Callithrix jacchus: one gene and its partners. The protein of the gene in region 5 purifies or fractionates together with the protein of the main gene of each other region. This does not show direct contact. Links are inferred from orthologs where the notes say so. Each region holds a gene or a part of one and is shown on either strand. Other genes may lie near its edges. The genes, in order: CDC27, NEK2, ANAPC7, ANAPC4 and CDC26.

Region 1 (4,295 bases), on a different chromosome or scaffold from region 5:
CTAGCTTAGAGAACTCCTGACTAGTAAACTTTTAAACCTGTTTTCCTTATCTGCTGAAAAACAAAATTTCAACAGTTCCCTGGTTCACTTTTTTGGGGGGAGAGGAGGGACAGAAAGGTATGAGAGTCTACAGTGCGTGCTAGACAGAGCCACATTGGTGATACATCGAAGTCTCTTAATCCTTTTTTTTTTTTTTTCAAACTAAGCGAACAGAAGAATTTCAGAGAGGTTATAATTTGCCTAAGGACCTATGACTTGTCAGTGCTAAAACTAAAATTCAAAACCAGGCCTCTGAATTTCAGATCCCCTACTGTTTCTACCACAGCGGAATGCCTCTCCTATCAAAAACAAAAATTTCTGGCCGGGCGCGGTGGCTCACGCCTGTAATCCCAGCACTTTGGGAGGCCGAGGCAGGTGGATCACGAGGTCAAGAAATCGAGACCATCCTGGTCAACATGGTGAAACCCCGTCTACACTAAAAATACAAAAAATTAGCTGGGCATGGTGGCGCGTGCCTGTAATCCCAGCTACTCAGGAGGCTGAGGCAGGAGAATTGCGTGAACCCAGGAGGTGGAGGTTGCGGTGAGCCGAGATCGCGCCATTGCACTCCAGCCTGGGTAGCAAGAGCGAAACTCCATCTCAAAAAAAAAAAATTTTTTTTCTAACGGCTTATTGAGCGTTTCCATGATCTCTCCACCTAAGTACTTCCAATTAATGCCTTCTTAGCAGACTGATCTCATTTTTCTTCCCTCCACTTAATCCTATAGTTCCTTTTCCTCTAATTCTATCCATCCTTCAAACTCCAATTTAAACTTTTTTTCCCTTCCATAAAACTTTCCTCAGTTTAACACAATTTCCCTCTCTGAATTTGTGTATTACTTATAATAGGCACCACGTAACATAGCGTTCTCTGTTCCACTGCTTTTCCCTTAAATAGGCCTTACTCTCCTTGAAGACAAGCTATCCTTTATCTTTGGGGAGTGGCAATCTTTCCAAATTTCTTTAGATTTCCCCGAGCCGTGAGTAGATACTTTTGGAATGGACGAATAATCTAAACTCAATAGACAAATACTTGTTGATTTATTATAGTCAGCCCCAAACTCTGCTGTTTTACCCTTTACTATATTATAATCTACTGCACACCAATAAATCCAGGAGGGCCGAGTGGCGACTCCACACTGCAGCCCCGCCACGTAACGCTCCTCGCCAGTTCCGTCACGCCACGCCCAGCCTGCTGGTTGCTGCTTGGGCGTGGCCCAGCCCTAGGACGGCCGATTGGGCGTGGTATGCGTGGCTGAAGGCGTGGCCGAGAAGAGGAACTTACGCTCAGGGTCAGACTCGGTAGTTTCCGGTAATCCTCGACAATTTCCGGCAACGGTTTTTCCTCGTCGACCCACCTCGGGTATTTCCGACATACTTCGGGCCTTTCCGTCTCGTTTCCGCTCGGCTTTCTCCACTTCGGGTATTTCCGTGTCCCGCTCGGAGGCGCTCGGCAACGCTCGGCCTCCCCAATCCCCCGGTAACGGTCGCTGGTGAGTTTAAATGAGCCGGGGCTGGCCGGGCCGGAGCCGCTACCGGGGGGGCTTGAGGCACTGCAGAAAGTGATCCTCGAGGATGACGGTGCTGCAGGAACCCGTCCAGGTAATGATAACTCTCTTCTCTGAGGCCTGGCTCACAGCCTTGGTCGGGGAAGCAGCGTAGGGCCACTCCGCGGCCTGGTGCGGCCTAGGCCGGGCTGCTTCTCCCGCCTCTACTGCCTCCGAGTCCTGCCTATCTTTAGTTCGGAGGCCTTGCCCGCAACCTAAGCCATGTTACCTCGGGCCCTTCGTTACTTTCACCCTTAGTGTGAGCGGTTTCGTTGAGCATAACCGCCATTCCGGTCCAAGCCAACGTCCGGCCAGCCCTTCCTGTCAGTCCAGGGGCCTGGCTTGACCTGGGGTGGGAGATGAGGGTCCGAAAACGCACCGCGGACGCTCTCTTGCCTCAAAGATGATCGAGAAGCACATTTGATCAGAGCTTGTATGATGTTAGCGATGGTAGGGCAAGTTTGCGGGGGTTTTATTTTTGTTTTTGTCTTATGTGAGAGGGTGGAGGGGAGAGTAGGATCGGTCTTTTTAATACTAATTTCTATTTTGGTAACAGACTTCCTAGCCCACGTTGCCTTTCTCGGGGAATTTCCCACCGGACAATGATGATTTGAGAAGACAACTCCAAGCCTCAGTGCTGAGGTGCAAGCACCTATACCAGGGGAGCGGGTGGAAAGGGCACATCTGGGTTGTTTTCATCCTCGGTGAAGGGGATCAGGAGCATTTTGTTGTGCATGTTTATAAGGCATTCAGGAAATGAAAGACAAATAATGTTTTTTCTGTCCATTTCACCGCCCTTACACCAAGATATGCTTTGACGCACAGTGCCGTGTTACATTAACGAAACCCTATTGGATTTTAAGTATGTGATGCGGTGCCAAGTCATTCCCCCTCCCCGGGCCCCCCCACAGCTGGAGAAACTGAATCTTTTGTGCCTTGGGGATGGACCAGGTCTGGGAGACTTCATCCTACCATATGATGTTTGACTCGATCAGAATTGACCTATATCAACTGCTGTCATTGAGTCATGGACTTAATTTTGAAGTTACAAAGCAAACCAATTTTTATAAATTCCTTCATATTGCCCTTAAAAGGCTTGAGATATCAAATAGTAAATATTTTAACATACCACTACTTTCCTGTTTGTTTAATTTTTCTTCACAGCATGAAATACTCATTTCTTCTAGTTTGGCTTCTTCTCCAGCTGTTTACAGATAGCAGCTATTAGTGTTTGAATTCATAAAACCTAAGATTATACCTTATGAAATTTACCTGTCTGTAAGTTGTATCAGTTCTTCTAGAGCTATTTTCATCCAAATTCTTCTTAACAGTATAGCGTTTCTTTAAAAAATTTTTTTATTCTATGGCTATAGATAAGATAATTATATATACACAGTTTTTTTAGGCCTAGCATGAGCTTAAATAGATAAGCAGATTACTCAAGTTGTTTAATTTCTGTTGCATATCCTTGTAATTTTGTTTTAATAATTTTTTTTTTTTTGCTTTCTCTGGCTCCAGAAGTCTTCTGAAGTGATAAACTAGTTGCAGTGACAGTCTATAACCACCATTTAATAATAATTTCAGACGTTATAAAAGCATGGAAAAGAAAAGAAATATGTAGCCTATTTCTAGATAGTACCCATCAGGTTTCTTGTTTGTACTTAAAGTACTTTTGTTAGTAATTACACACTTGGGTATTTTTAAGGCTTAAAGGTCAGATTTGCCTGTTTTTCACAGTAGCATTGTTCACTAGATTTTTGAGATAGCGGTAGAAAGTTATAGGATATGACTAGGTGAGATTTTTGGTTGTATAGTATAAGAAGAAGCCATTCAAGAAGGGATGATTTGGAGCAGTGAGAAGAACTGGCAACTTTGACTACAATGATAAAGATCAATGATCAAGGATAGTGTTGCAGATGGGAAAGAATTAGTAAAGAAGAGAATAAAAATAGGACAGATATAAACATACTGTCTTAAAAAAAACTGTAACGACAGATTACATGCATTTGGAAAGCAATGAGAATGAGTTGGAAAATTGTTTTCTTTCTTGGAATGTCTCAGAGTTGATGGTATTACTAGGCATAGGAAAAAGTTGACAGAAAAGATGAACAACTATTTTTTGCATTTTTTTCTTTAAAGTTTTAACATAGAATGGCCAGCCTGATATACCATATATGCCTAAATTAAAATTCTGTCTCAAGTTACTACCTCTCAGAAGAGTATTACTTATATTTGAGTCCTTACAAAAATCTCACATATGAGGCAGAAGTTCTGTCAGATCTTTTATTTTTAATGGTAACTATTTGGAAAGACACACTAGCCTAAGTGACTTCAGTGAGAGCTTTTTGGGTATTTATAAAAGTCACCTGATGAAATTGGTATTTAAAAAAGAAGCAAAGAGATTTTATATAGATTTAGCAATTATTCCTAGGGGTAAGACTTCACAGAGATGTTGGATGAAGTTGTAAATAAGCTTTTTGAAAATTGGTTTCATAAGCAATATAGCAATTGGTACTACATACTTGATACTGCTTTAGAGATCATTAGATGGTGAAGGAGTACTTTTGGCTGGGGGTAAAATGTTGAGGGACAACATCTAACATGGATTCAAAGGGTATGGATCTTTGAATGAAAAATTTAGATTTAATGTACATTGGTAATGAATAACTATTAAATGAGCAGAAGAGTTTTTGAGCAGAGGAATTATGT
Region 2 (3,516 bases), on a different chromosome or scaffold from region 5:
TCCGCTTTGCTTTGACCCCCATTCAGACTTACGCTCCAATCTTTCTTCTCTGGCTCTGAGAGCTCGCTCTCGCTCCTGTAACTGAATTTCCTTTAATTTCAGCTCACTCAATACAGGGCTGGAATCCTGCAATTTCTCTGGCTCTCCTAATTGTCTCCCTCTTCTCTCAAGATTTCTTCTTTGCTCGTCTGCCACCAAATCTGCTATTAAAGCGTTCTCGAGAATTTCTTCAACAGAAGGTCGATGGTAATCCTGGGGGAAAAATACTCAGTGTTATAGTCAGATTGCATAACAGAATAGTCATCCTAAGACAGCAGTTACAATGAAAGGACATAAATGTATTTCCAAGACAAAAGAAAGCACTCTTTTATGGATAGGTCTTACACTCTTGAAAAAATAAGTTTAATGATGGTTTTAACTCATGAGGTTCTGGGTCCACAAGGTAATGCAGATATTAACTTACCTTTGTCCCCTTTCCCCTTTTCACCTTTCTAAGAAGGTTCAGTCCCTGAAGTACTTTGGCACATCTTGTGCTGCTGCTTGATAGCATTGCTAGGGTCTGTTTTAGGGGAAGTACTGCCCTTGCATCTTTAAACTACATTTAGCAAGATACTCTCTTTCTCTCAATCCTGTCACTTCATCTGTTTCTTTATCTGTGATCCTACAGCATTTTCCTTCTTCTCTTATGTCAGCCTGATCCCCAGAACATCTCCCTCCCCATCTATAGCCAGAGTTTTTCCATGTAATCTCTTTGATTTTTCCTCTTCTCTTTTTAGCTGTCCTCTCTCCACCCTCCATCACCCCTCCCTTTCTTCTGGTCTCTAATCTCTCAATTAGAGCTAGAGGCAGGGTCTTATTTCTGGCCCCTTCCCTCACCACGTGCCACTATGAGGTACGCAAAGACAAGGGGAATGAGGATTTGAATTCTTTTTGCAATCTTTCCTTGCTACCATCTGTTAGTATGGCAGAGTGGGAGGAGAAATAAAGCGCAGAAGGTGGGCCAGCAAGGATGTACAATTTACCAAATTTACATATGTCTTCACTTGTGTTAACACAGTATATTTAGCTAAGAAAGTATATTTAATGTTTCTTCAGTCTCCACCGGTCGATAACAGAGAATGTATGCTCCAACACTTAACTGACAGCTAGAAACAGATAATATATCATCTTATCATCTTTACCTTTAAGTTTAACATCCTCGTAATAATGTCATTCAATTCATCGGAGTAACGGTATGGAATTCTCCTGAATTTGCCTTCTCTGATTTTCCCAGCGAGTTCTTTCTGGTTAAAAGCTGTAAATGGAGGCCTAGGATTAAAAGAGAAGAAGAAAAAGACGACAAAGACATTTTCAAATTGTAAAAATGAAAATATACAACAGGAACAAAATCAAAAGCACAGTTTCACCTCTAGTTTGTATTTAAGTTTCTATTTCTGGGATTTTCTTCTATAAGTAAGTTTCCCAACCTTGGCACTATTGACATTTGAGGTTCTATAATTCTTTGTTGTGGGGGGCTGTCCTGTGCAGTGTAGGGTATTTTATAGCCCCCCTGCCCTCTACCCTCTAGATGCCAGGGGCATTCACCAGTTGTAATAACTAAAAATGTATCCAAACATTGTCAAATGCCCCATGAAAAGCAAATTTGCTTCCCTCATCCCTGGTTGAGAACCACTGCTCTACAGAATAGTTTCAAAGGGAAAAAAATGAAAAGAAGAAAAAAGGGAAATAATTGGAGCTCTTCCCTGCTCTACAGATCCCCAGACCTCTACCTGAGGCTTATATCATTTCTTCCATATCCTTACAGTGGCTTTACCTTACCTGCCTGACCTATGTGCTCTCCCCCTTAAGCTAAGTGTCAGTCTAACAGGGAAGCACCTAACCAGCCAAGACACTTCAACAGTCAGGACCCAGCCTCATGGCTAATAGTTTTAATTTATGAATAGTTTCTTTCAACTTGTCCATCTACCTTAATTTTACCCAACGTACAATTCTTTCAGACTTGAATATGCTTTCATTAGCATGCATGTTCAAAAAACTGAACCCAGTGAAAGGTGACAAATGGTACAAACCTTAGACTAGGAATTTGTCTTCATCATACTTACATTAATGCACATAACTCATACAGCAAACAGCCCAAAGACCAGATATCTGATTTCTCATTGTAGGACATGCGATTCATTTGTTCCTATACAGGAAAAAAGGGCAAGAAAGTGGAAGGTGTTAAGAGTTTATCTTGTTTTGAAACTTATGAAACATATTAAATTACTCCTGAGATAAAAACAGAACCTCAAAGTTTTTAGCCTACACTTTATCTTCAAATTTATAATGGAAAAAAGGCATTGATCTTGTTCCACTACAATCTGTCATATATAGTTCATTCACTCATTTTTCATTCACAAATAAAAGTGCTTAGTATAAACTAAACACTGACAGTTCAGAGGTGAATATGAGAGACTTCCACTCTCAAGGCAAATCAAGAAACACCATTTTAAAAGAACTAGAGAACATTTAAGAATAATCAAAATACGTATCTAGTCCACATTTCAATGGATCTACACATAGCTAATGGAATTATCCATTTATATTTTTTCTTAGTCCACTGCACAAATCATAGAAGTAACTAATATTATCATTACCTATTTTAATGTTTGCCCTTCTTCCACATCTACAGTAACAACAGTCTACCAGAGCTCTTATTCTCAATAGCGGGAACAGAAGCAAGCACCACCCAAATCTCTAGGAGGCTGATTAGTGTTTTCAAGTCCAACTGGTCAATCTGATGCCACCTTTTGACAATCAGGGCCTTAGTCTGAACCACTCTAATTACAAGGGCAGGAGGGAAAAGGAACAAAAGAATAGGTTTCAAATTTTCCAAGAACCACTTCTGGATAATTATCTTTTATGTTAAAAGTGTTCTATTTGAAATTTGATACAGTGAGAAAATGGTACTGTTCTGGCCATTTTAATCTTAATCAAAACAAAAATCATTAATTTACAAAGTTTTATACTATAGTCAGCTCTGTTAACATAATTTCTAAAGATTTGGAAAATCTTAGAAAGGTGAACTACTAAAATGCTAATAAATATTTCTTCATCTTTATCTGTTCAGATGTCATATAGTAACATATTAGTGCTATCCCAATTGACTTAAACATTTAAAAGCCATCAGGCAATATCTAACAACAGCCATAAACTGTTTATACCTTTTACCCCAGCAATTTAATTTTATGAGCTACACTCCAAGGAAATAACCAAAAGGGAAGAAAGAATAATTCATACAAATGGTGAAATATTTTGGAAACAAAATCTCCAGCAATATAGGTAAAGGGTGAGTGGACTCAGCAAGGTATTTCAGGAAAAGACAACAAAAAATAACATGTACAAAAAGTTAACACTGTAAAAACATGTTATCTGAAGTGAGCAAACTTTCTGAGCTCCGAATCTGCATGCACAAGAATTATTTAGAGTCTGTTAAAATGCAAAGTCCCAAATCAAAAGTATAACATTGAAACAAAA
Region 3 (2,814 bases), on a different chromosome or scaffold from region 5:
ACATTTTGGGATTCTTCTTCTATTGACATCAAATTCATTATTTTGTAGCACCTTGGACTAATTTTTGAATTTGGGATTAGCTGTGACACCCAGCCCCCACCTCTGATTAATTGTATACTCAGAGCCACTGGAACTTAAGACACAAGGGAGGGGGTGGGGGAAGAAACTCCCAGCCCCAGAGCTCAGGGTGTGACACTCAGGCTGACCAGTGACAGACTGCTGGAACCAGACCTCAATCTCACAGCTGCAGCAGAAGAGCCAGGCAGACTTAGCTGAAATCCGGCCAAATCTCAGGCTCCAGGGAAACTTACCTACCCAATATGCAACAGATGAACCAGCTCAGGATTCCTGAGCTTTCCAACCCTCCTGGCTCCCAACACTAGGGGAAAAAAGTCTATTTTTGGCAAATACTTCTGGGGCTAAATCAATGCATTCTGAATAAGAGACAAAAAAACTAAGTCTATTTTAAAAAGAGCTTCCATTCTGATCACCCAACACCATGACTATACAAACCAGTTTTATTAGGGAACTGCCCCAGGTGAACCTCTGTTCATGCTCTCATCACACCTGTTTCTCAAATCAGCCCAGGCTCAGAGAGGCAAGTTACCAGCTAAGCAAAGAGGAAAACTGTTCTGCAAAATAGCAACTGTCAGCTTAAGGCATTACTAACATTGCAGAAGGAAGCAAGATTACTAGGGATGTCTGGATAGCCCAGGACAATGACTTCTGGGAACGGGAAGCCCTCTAGGGCCAGATCGTGCTGCCATCCAACTTAGGAGGTGACACTATCGTGCTGGGATGGTGGGTCACTCCTTCAAACCCATCCACATCACTGACAGAACACTGTCTATTCCTTGAGCTTTTGGATTTAGAAATTAGTTATATAAAAAGTACTCTTGGCCCAGAAGCCCCAACATGTGTGTGGGTCTCAGGGCACTCCCTCAGTCCTCCCTGGCTGGAGCAGGGGAGGATGGAGATACATGGAAGGTTGGTCAGGCTCTGTTTTAGAAATGAAGTCACATCTAGGAATCAGGAGCAAGGGGGCAGAGACCCCTGCTGCAATCACATGCTGAATCATTGTCCTCCTGAGAGCAGGCTCCTACGGTTCCTTCAGTCCACGGAAGTGCTCAGAGCAGGGCAGGCCAGTGCGGCCATGGAGCTGCCGCCCCCTCACTGCATGCCGAACCACTGCTCCTGGTCAGCCCACTGGGCCGCCTCACTGTCGCTGCCCTCCAGGTCCCCTTCTTCCCCACTCCCTTCCATGTCGTCCACATCCTCCTCCTGAGTGGCATCCGTGGGACTCTCCTCCTTCTCCATCTTCTGCATCCCCTCTAGAGACTTCTGGTCATTGGGGTCCAAACTAGGGGACAACAAAACAAAGGAGAGGCCTGAATCTCTGCCTTGCTCTTGCTGGCTGATTCGTCATCTCCCTGGCCCAGCAGTGAAATGACCACACAGTCCCAGAGAAAGTGCTAAAGCCTGGCCTCTCCAAACAACTCAGGCTTCCGAGGCTGGGTTGATGGAGTCCACCATGAGAAGGGCAAAAAGGAGTCTTTTCCTAATTTTTAGAGTTCTCAATTTGAGTTTTTCTCTACAAATTTCTTAAATTTTTTCATTCCTATTACCCCTAGCATTCTGCTAGTGGCTACTAGATAACACAAATGAAAAAGTGGTAAACAAACATTAACAGGTAAATTCAAACGTAATTCCCAGAAAGTTGGGTTTTTGAGCTATGGGGTTACAAAAAAAAATAGGAATTTCTCTGAGTAGAGGTGTTCCATGTTCTTATGATGTAATTAAATATATCAGCATTTCAGGAGCCAACCAAAAACATCATGCTGTACCATGGAACAGATTTGTAAACACCTAGGTTAGACCCCAGGACCCAAGGCTACCCTTACCCGAGCATTCACATTTAGTAGCTGGGAGTCAGTAAATGTGCCACCCCCATCCCCAGAGTTCAGAGCCTCTAGAACATTCATTTGTTTGCCTCCTAAGCAATCTTTCATCTTGCCTTGGTGACCATCACCCAAGCCAGCAGGTGTCCCACGCCTAGTAAACTCCATCTCTAATAAAAGTCTAGTATTTTTTTTTTCTCTCTTGCTTCTGGGCTTCTAAAAAGCAGCCAAAACCCACATTGGCATTCTGTTTCTAACAATGTAAATGCGGACCGATCTGTAATATCTCCTGGTCTCCTAGTTGCTGAACCCTTCCACACCCATACTCTGAAGCTCTCACCCATACCCAGGGCTCCTGCCCTCTGGACTCACACCTTCCCTTCTACAGACTGCTATGAAAGCCCTTAGCATGTGGTATGGTCAGTCTGCATGTCTAAGACTGACAGCTCCCAAAACATATCATCTCCAATGGTCACTGAGATGATAAGCACACAAGTGGTGCTCAACTGTGTGCTGAACAACTGAATGTGATCAGACTCTATTAAAGACAGCCCCTCACCATATAATCTTACACACACACGGACAACCCTCAAATAAACCACTTCTGTATTAAACAGTAAGAAGACCACTATTTATTTAGTATTTACTATGTACCAGGCACAGGGCTAAGAGCTTACATGTTATAATCATTTAACCCTCATTCAATCATTTAATGTCTAATAGGTAGATAGATATAGACAAGGAAATGTGTTAGTAACTTGCCCAAGATCACAGGTGGTGAAAGTAGTATTCAAAACTTCAGACCTCAAGTTCTTAACTACTACAGTAGATAGAAACATGGGAAAGTACTTACAATACTTTGATTTGAAAAAGAAGAATATAAAATATATACTAGGTACAACCCTATAAAAATATG
Region 4 (3,516 bases), on a different chromosome or scaffold from region 5:
TTTGGGCCAGCCATATAACCGATTCTGAACTTTTGTTTCCTCTTGTGTCACTGTAAACCTACCCAGCATTAACCTTTTAAGTTAAAGATTGAAATGACCAACACCTTGCTAAGATACTAAATAAACACAATAATCTTGGTAAACTGTAAAATGTTAATCTCACTGCTGAAAAAAGGGATACATGCCTTATTTCAAAATATACTTCCATGCTTAGGTGATTAAGAAAAAACCCCAGATAGAGTCTAGCCTGGTGAAAAGATGCTGGAGAATTACTTCATAAAGCAGAATTATTATTGACTCTTTCAGTCTTGAGTACACGAAGATTCTTCTCAAATGCCATGCAACAATTTTAGCTAGAAAAGGTTTAAAAAGAGAATGCCAGATGAAGAGAAGGCGGCAGAAAGAAGGCCAATGCCAGGTATGTGTGGATACAATACCAAAAGATTCTATTTCATCTTCATACCTCTGTAAGTGACTTATGACCAATTTTTGTATACTGGAATATGATGACTCTATAGACTGGCCAAGCTTTTTTAAGCCCTAATTGAAAGAAGAAAATATATTTAGCATACAATTAGGATATTATATGCCACTCAAAAAAAAAATTAAGAATATGTTCATAGCCATTTTAACACATAGATACATTAACTGCACCTTTACTGTTAACTGATTCATCAGGAGAGTCTGAAGTTCAGCACTACAATGAAAAACAAAGTATTTTTAGTCACTTCTCTATTGGAAATCTGAATGCATCACTTAGAACTTTCAAATTTCAAAGCACAAACAAGACTTTGAAACAAAATAAAGAAACAGCTCAACAAAAATTAAATTGTATGAATGTAACATCACATATACCCCATAAATATGCAAAACATGTATCAATTAAAAACACTATGTATCAATAAAAAATTCATATGACTATAAACTACTTTTCAAATAAAACTACTTTTCAAATAAATAATTACTGTTAAAAAAAGAAGCAAAAGCAGGAGCACCTAATCTGAGTTTATTACCTTGCTTTTCCCCATAACAGCAAGTGCATGAACTCATCTTGCACTGATGTGGTTGTGTTCTTTTCCTAAAAAAGAGAAAGAAAAAAAATTGTGATATATTTACTAAATTATAAGCATATTTATTCAAAATTACAGGAACATGACTCCCTTTCCTTGCCTTAAACTTCCATCCAATCCATAAAGTGATCATCAAACATGAGTGACTAGAAGACAGCCAGTCAGCTGTTCTAACATCTGCCCTTATTGCCCAAGCCCCACCAGCTCCACTTCACAATCCTGTCTCCACCTAAGCTGTACCAATAGGAAAAGAGCCCTTTTTGGAAATCTGAGAAAACAGTTTGAAGTTAGACTAAGCCATTTGAAAAAAATCACAATCTTAATCACAATTAGCCACGCCAAGCTAATTTTTGTATTTTTTGTATGCATCCAACTGATTTTTCTCATGTACCTCAAAGTAAATACATACATCAAGCATTCCTTAACTCTCTCCATGAGAAACTTCATGTGCTTTACCTGTACAAACTTGGTGAGACGAGAATCCATCTGCATTAGTATTTCTTCCCATGCTTCACACATACATGTTAGTGACAAATTTATATACTATTAGCAAAAAAGAAAAAAAATTGAAATGACAAAAAATATTTAAACCAACTTGCTATCTAAATATGTGCTTATGATCAAGTGTCTCAATGAATTTATTTTCAATCACTCCTTTACTTGTATTTATTTATTTATTGAGACAGAGTCTTGCTCTGTTGTCTTGGCTGGAGTGCAGTGGCACCATCTCAGCTCACTGCAACTTCTACATGCCGGGTTCAAGCTGCCTCAGACTTGCGAGTAGCTGGCATTACAGGCATGCATCACCATGCTGAGTTAATTTTTGTATTTTTAGTAGAGACGGGGCTTCACCATGTTGGCTAGGCTGGTCTCAAACTCTTGGCCTCAAGCGAACTGCCTACCTGAGCCTCCCAAAGTGCTGGGATTACAGATATGTGCCACCCTGCCCAGTCTCAATCACTCTTTTAACTCAGTTAAGAGGGAGAAAAAGACTATAGCTTGCTCATCACTTAATAATGAAACATTCCACTGATTCTTAGAATTTCATAATAAAACATTGTTAAATTAAGTTTTTATCTGGTAAAACAAATATCCCCAAGCTTTTTATAGAAGACTTGTCTTATGTACACTAACTGTCAAAATGCTGGTTTGGTCAACTAACTATTCAATTTTCAAATAGGATCCTTAAAAAGATACTGATCTCTAGAAACCTTTATTATCAAATAAATTAATGACTGTGATAGAATGAAAAAATATGGTCACAATTTTTTGTAGCTCCTTCAGTCAGATGTAGTGTTAATTTCTTCAGCCTTTGAGTCTCACTTTGACAAACAAAATGCAGCAGAAATAATGCTGTTGACTCCAGGGCCTCAACAGTCTTTGTATGCTTCCACTTGCACCCTCAATGCCCCATTACCACCACCATGTGGACAAGCCTGTGCTGGCCTGCTGGAGTATGAAGGATGTGGAATAGAGACAAGGCCATCACAGCCAAGGAACACATATCAGCTGGCATGACCAAGTCTAGTCACCCAACCTCTTGGCTAAGCCTAGCCTAAATCACCAACCTAGAGAACTGGGAGCTAATTTGGGGTGGGTTTATTATAAACAAATGTAAACTCAGGTGAAGACTGTTTTTCCTACAATACTTTATATTACCGATGGTATTTTATTTATGGGACTATTTTAAAGATTTAAACTATTTTTTCCTTTTATTTTAGAGGTGGAAAATAGGGTGTGGTAGATGTAGATTCTAAATTAAATGTTCTTTCCCTGCTTTAATGGACCTTATAAGATTATCTATCAGACTAGATGCCCCTACTTCAGACAGCTTTACAAAACAACATTTTGAAGTTTTTTACTTATAGAACTTTAGAAGCCAATAAATATTCACATAAAACAAGCTCTAGATAAATACCTGTAAAAGAGCTGAAATGTGAGTAAACTTTCTGGCCATCCGAGTTACTTCAGGTAAGAAAGAGTACAACAGATTGGTTTCAAGCTGTAAAATCAAAAGAGTAAAGTGAGTCACCATCAGACACACTTGCGGCAAAGCCTGCAATTTAAGAGTGTAGGTTAAACTACGTATCACAAAGACTATGTCAGAATTCTGCCCTCTTTGAGCATTAATGGTTTGGAAACTAACAGCACACAGCCTTAGGATCACCTAACCTATGCATAACCATACGCAAATCACTCTCTCTGGGTCACCAACCCCTTCTGTGTAGACAGAATAAATGTAATATAATCTATTTTGCAACGGTGTTACAAAGAAATTTTTAAATCACAAATATATGCAAAAACTTAAGGGAAATAGAAGGAATTAAAGGCTACTTATAAATATTGGGAAAATATCTCTCAATGATATATGAATTATAACAAATTTGTCATTAAAAATTATCTGTTATAAACTTCGCAGTAGTGAATCATTTTATTAGAACCCCAA
Region 5 (4,145 bases):
TTTTTTTTTAAAGAGATAGGGTCTGCTCTAAGAAATAGTGTCTGCTCTTTGCCCAGGCTGGCGTGCAGTGGCATTACCTTAGCTCACTGCAGCTTCAACTTACTGCGCTCAAGCAATCTTACTGCGTCAGCCTCCTGAGTAGCTCGAACTCAGGTGTACACCACCACACTTGGCTAATTTTTGTGTTTTTTGTAGAAATGGGATTTCTCTCTGATGCCCAGGCTAGTCTCAAACTCTTGGGCTCAGGTGTTCCTCCCTCCTCATCCTCCCAAAGTGCTGGCATTACAGGCCAAAGCCACTGTGCCCAGTGACTTCTTAAGTCTTTAGGTATGTCATTATTACATTTTTAATACATGACGGAGATCCACAACTCTGAAAAATCCAAAAACTATTCTGTAAGAATTTAAAATAGCAAACTGCCTAAAAGAGAGAAATTCCAGGCAACCATCACTTTAATTTCATGTTCCAGTCACGTTCAAAGAAATATTCTAGCTAAAAGAATAAACTGTCACATCTTAACTTAGTATAGAGGGGAAAGTAGACAAACCGCTGAATTTAATCTACATGAGGACTGTCAGAGATTTGTGATCACTCCTGAATGCTAGAATCAGTTTGCTAAATCTCATGAAAACGCCAACTCACCAATTCACAAAATTATTCTCAGCGTTTAAACAGATCCTAAATGTGTCCGTCATTCATTAAACAAATACTTCTTGTGCTCCAGCTACAAAGTTAAAAGGTACAGTCATAATCTGTGGAGAAAACAAAGAGAAAGCTTTGATATTGCATAATGAGAACTCTGATGAGGGTAAGGCACTGGCATCACACGGGCACCTAATCCAGTCTGGGCTGAGTGTGGGGTGGACAAGGATGTCAGGCAAGCCTTCCTGGAGAAAATGATGTCTTAGCTGACTCACTCCCAAGAGCAGGCAGAGAGAAGAGTGCACAAAGGAGACTCAAGACCAGCTCTGGAAACCTAGCAAGACCCTGTCGCTACAAAAAAGTAAAAAAATTAGCTGGGCTGGTAGTGTGTGCCTGCAGTCTTAGCTACTCAGGAGGCTGAAGTGGAAGGATCCACCTGAGCCCAGGAGTTTGGGGTTGCCACAATGAGCCACGATCTCACCATGAGACCCCCAACTCAAAAACAAACAAAAAAAAAGAAGTAGAAAACAGGCTCAAGAGAGCATTCCACAGCCTGAAATCGCAAAGTAAATGTTAATAAAAACTGTTTTTGTTTTGTTTGTTTTTTGAGAAAACACAACTCCTCCAATTGAGTTTAATATTTGTTGATGACATCACTTGTATATTCTCCACAGCATCCCCTAAAATCCCCTAGAGTGTATCTATAAAAAACAGTCAGTAAGGGCCGGGCACGGTGCCTCACACCTGTAATCCCAGCACTTGGGAGGCCGAGGCGGGCAGATCAGGAGGTCAGGAGTTTGAGACCAGCCTGACCAACATGGTGAAACCCCGTCTCTACTAAAAATACAAAAATTAGCCAGATGTGGTAGCGGGCGCCTGTAATCCCAGCTACTCAGAAGGCTGAGGCAGGAGAATCGCTTGAACCCGGAAGGCGGACGTTGCAGTGAGCCGAGATCGTGCCACTGCACTCCAGCGTGGGTGACAGAGCAAGAGTCCGTCTCAAAAAACAAAAAACAAAAAAAATCTGCTATACATTTTACCTTTTCTGCAAACTGTGAAAAACTCTCCACTAGGAAGAAGTATAGAGTAACAGTTAATAGTGTGGCTGTAGAGGTTAATCCCACTACACCACTGATCTTGAATAATTAGTTTCATCTCTCACTAGACCTTAGTTTCCTCATCTGTATCTGACTCTGCTATTGTTGGTGAATAATATAATGCAGAGTAAAGAGTAAGCTCTTGGAACATAACTTGGCATTTTAAAAATGTGCAATAAATAAAATCTATTATTACTGTAATTTTTCTAGGGGGTTGGATGGGGATCTGGCCAGCTAGGGAAACCTCAATGTTTTGAGAATCATCCACCTCCCACGTGGAGATAAAAGCCTTATCCTGGCCGGGTGTGGTGGCTCGCTCCTGTAATCCCAGCACTTTGGGAGGCCGAGACGGGTGGATCGCGAGGTCAGGAGTTTAAGATCACTCTGGCCAAGATGGTGAAACTCCGTCTCTACTAAAAATACAAAAATTAGCCGGGCGCGGTGGCCGGTGGCGGTAATCCCACCTAATCGGGAGGCTGAGGCAGGAGAATCGCTTGACCCGGGGTCGGGGTGGACCGAAGGTTGCAGTGAGCCGAGATCGCGCCACTGCGCTCCCAGACTGAGCGACAGTAAGACTCCGTCTCAAAAGAAAAAAAAAAACTTACCTTGTTTGTCTCTAATTCCCCAGCATCCAGCAGGGCACAGGGACGTACAGAGCTATCTGACACCTTCCTATCCATCATCTTACTCTCAATCTGATACAACGACCGGCTCTAGACAAATCAACAAAGTCAGGCCGAAGCTCTTCCGCCGGGTCTTTATTTGACTTTGGCACTAGGGAGCTCTTCTAGCAGCCTAAATCCACCGCGGAGCCATCAAGCTCAGAGGGGGCCCCTAAGAAGACTTCCGGATTGTGGAGAAAAACAGCCCTTGTCCCCTAGCTCCAAGCCTGTACCTCGGATCCCTGGCGAGGATTTCCATGGTAACAAGGTCTTCAGCTCCAGGAAGACTTAAACGCTCCGGTAGGCCCGGGTGGCACGGCGGACCCCGGAAGTCCTCGACTCGCTCCAGAGTTCAGCCCCGAGCCGCGCGACGCAACGCACCTACCTCTTTTCAAGCCTGTTCAGCCCCTTCCCGGAACCTCCGCTCCCCCAGTGAAACTATTGGTAAGCCAACTGGACTACACTTCCCAGACTACTTGGAGCCTCTCTCTCAGCAGAATCTCGTCTTGCGCGAGCTTTCTCCGATGTTCTAGGAGGCATGCCCCTCAATACGATCACACCGCTTCCTACTACGACTTCCATCATGCTCCGCGCCGCTCCGGGCGCGGCTACGGCTCTCGGCACACGTCCGGTCGGTGACGCACTTCCGATCGGTGATGCTCATCCGCTCTGCTGGGCGCGCGGTGGACGATCTGAATCGGAGACCTCAGGTTTCGCTGTAGCTTTTCTCCAGAGCCCGGCATGGCTTCCTCGCGAGCTTCCTCCACGGTACAGAGCCCGGGATCTCAGCTCACTCTGGCAGGAAGCGCGAAGGGGGAAGGGGGTCCTTGCGGGAAGGGGCCGTTAGGGAACGGGAGAAGGCGGTGGAGGGCCGAGGAGGAAGGCTGTGGGACTCCGTGTCCTAGACAGCCGAGCACCGTTTTCCTGATCCCTAAGCGCTTTCGTGGACTATAGCTTATTTGCACCTCTCCGACTACATCCCTGAAGGGCAAACATCTCTTCGGACTGATCCAGTAACGGTGCTCTGAAATAGGGAAGTGTCTTGGCCAAGATTGATGCCTTTGGCAGATCTCAGAACTTTAATGAGACCTACTAACTCCTACTGCCTCAGGTCTAGAAACGTTTGAAATATATACGCTAGTAATCTTGTAACTTGTTCTTCTTTAGCACCGCGTTAGTTATTTCATCTATATTTGGTACTTCCCCAGTGATGAGCAGTAACCCTGGAAGCATCGTAAAACACGAGATTGCACACTTCCAACAGAATGAAGTAAACAGATTGCAGAGCAAACCCTTGATAGAAAAATACCCGAGAGAACCTCACTAGTTTTATCAATCCTGTCAACCAAAGTGAGGGACTGAAACACCCTCCCCCTACCCTCATCTCCTCAAATCAATGAAGAACATCTTAAGCAGTGTCCAATTTGTCCTTTCAATTACAGAGGAAGTAGGACTGTGAAACTCAGGGTGAGCTTCATCCTCTGGGGAAGTCCAGCAAATTGTTAAGATTAAGCGTTAGTTTAAGTCAGATTTTTGATTTAGCAGGCAACCAAAACTAAAGCACCTGATGACTTAGTTGCTCCGGTTGTGAAGAAGCCACATATCTATTATGGAAGTTTGGAAGAGAAGGAGAGGGAGCGTCTGGCCAAAGGAGAATCTGGGATTTTGGGGAAAGAAGGACTTAAAGCAGGAATCGAAGCTGGAAATATTAATATAACCTCTGGTAAGATGCAAGTTGTGAGTT

Evidence for each region.
Region 1: the proteins of CDC26 (region 5) and CDC27 purify together in Homo sapiens (affinity purification with mass spectrometry; 12 studies listed by BioGRID and IntAct, with this or other methods). This does not show direct contact. The link is inferred for Callithrix jacchus from reciprocal best matches to the Homo sapiens genes CDC26 and CDC27.
Region 2: the proteins of CDC26 (region 5) and NEK2 purify together in Homo sapiens (affinity purification with mass spectrometry; 3 studies listed by BioGRID and IntAct, with this or other methods). This does not show direct contact. The link is inferred for Callithrix jacchus from reciprocal best matches to the Homo sapiens genes CDC26 and NEK2.
Region 3: the proteins of CDC26 (region 5) and ANAPC7 purify together in Homo sapiens (affinity purification with mass spectrometry; 5 studies listed by BioGRID and IntAct, with this or other methods). This does not show direct contact. The link is inferred for Callithrix jacchus from reciprocal best matches to the Homo sapiens genes CDC26 and ANAPC7.
Region 4: the proteins of CDC26 (region 5) and ANAPC4 purify together in Homo sapiens (affinity purification with mass spectrometry; 11 studies listed by BioGRID and IntAct, with this or other methods). This does not show direct contact. The link is inferred for Callithrix jacchus from reciprocal best matches to the Homo sapiens genes CDC26 and ANAPC4.

What each region holds. Positions count from the first base shown.
Region 1 is NC_133506.1:87,066,322-87,070,616, reverse strand, and holds the start of CDC27 (cell division cycle protein 27 homolog), read left to right. Parts: upstream 1-1,491; 5' UTR 1,492-1,614; coding exon 1,615-1,641; intron 1,642-2,142; exon of another isoform or gene 2,143-2,230; intron 2,231-4,295. UniProt on the Homo sapiens protein: Component of the anaphase promoting complex/cyclosome (APC/C), a cell cycle-regulated E3 ubiquitin ligase that controls progression through mitosis and the G1 phase of the cell cycle.
Region 2 is NC_133520.1:16,821,171-16,824,686, forward strand, and holds part of NEK2 (serine/threonine-protein kinase Nek2), read right to left. Parts: intron 2,186-3,516; coding exon 2,103-2,185; intron 1,309-2,102; coding exon 1,182-1,308; intron 253-1,181; coding exon 33-252; intron 1-32. UniProt on the Homo sapiens protein: Protein kinase which is involved in the control of centrosome separation and bipolar spindle formation in mitotic cells and chromatin condensation in meiotic cells.
Region 3 is NC_133510.1:113,283,907-113,286,720, forward strand, and holds the end of ANAPC7 (anaphase-promoting complex subunit 7), read right to left. Parts: intron 1,361-2,814; coding exon 1,171-1,360; 3' UTR 501-1,170; downstream 1-500. UniProt on the Homo sapiens protein: Component of the anaphase promoting complex/cyclosome (APC/C), a cell cycle-regulated E3 ubiquitin ligase that controls progression through mitosis and the G1 phase of the cell cycle.
Region 4 is NC_133504.1:168,448,727-168,452,242, forward strand, and holds part of ANAPC4 (anaphase-promoting complex subunit 4), read right to left. Parts: intron 3,073-3,516; coding exon 2,989-3,072; intron 1,614-2,988; coding exon 1,527-1,613; intron 1,079-1,526; coding exon 1,014-1,078; intron 698-1,013; coding exon 655-697; intron 541-654; coding exon 464-540; intron 1-463. UniProt on the Homo sapiens protein: Component of the anaphase promoting complex/cyclosome (APC/C), a cell cycle-regulated E3 ubiquitin ligase that controls progression through mitosis and the G1 phase of the cell cycle.
Region 5 is NC_133502.1:161,586,189-161,590,333, forward strand, and holds the start of CDC26 (anaphase-promoting complex subunit CDC26), read right to left. Parts: upstream 2,816-4,145; 5' UTR 2,787-2,815; exon of another isoform or gene 2,345-2,786; intron 753-2,344; 5' UTR 696-752; coding exon 643-695; intron 1-642. Other genes in the region: PRPF4 (U4/U6 small nuclear ribonucleoprotein Prp4), read left to right, coding at 3,143-3,169, 3,944-4,124. UniProt on the Homo sapiens protein: Component of the anaphase promoting complex/cyclosome (APC/C), a cell cycle-regulated E3 ubiquitin ligase that controls progression through mitosis and the G1 phase of the cell cycle.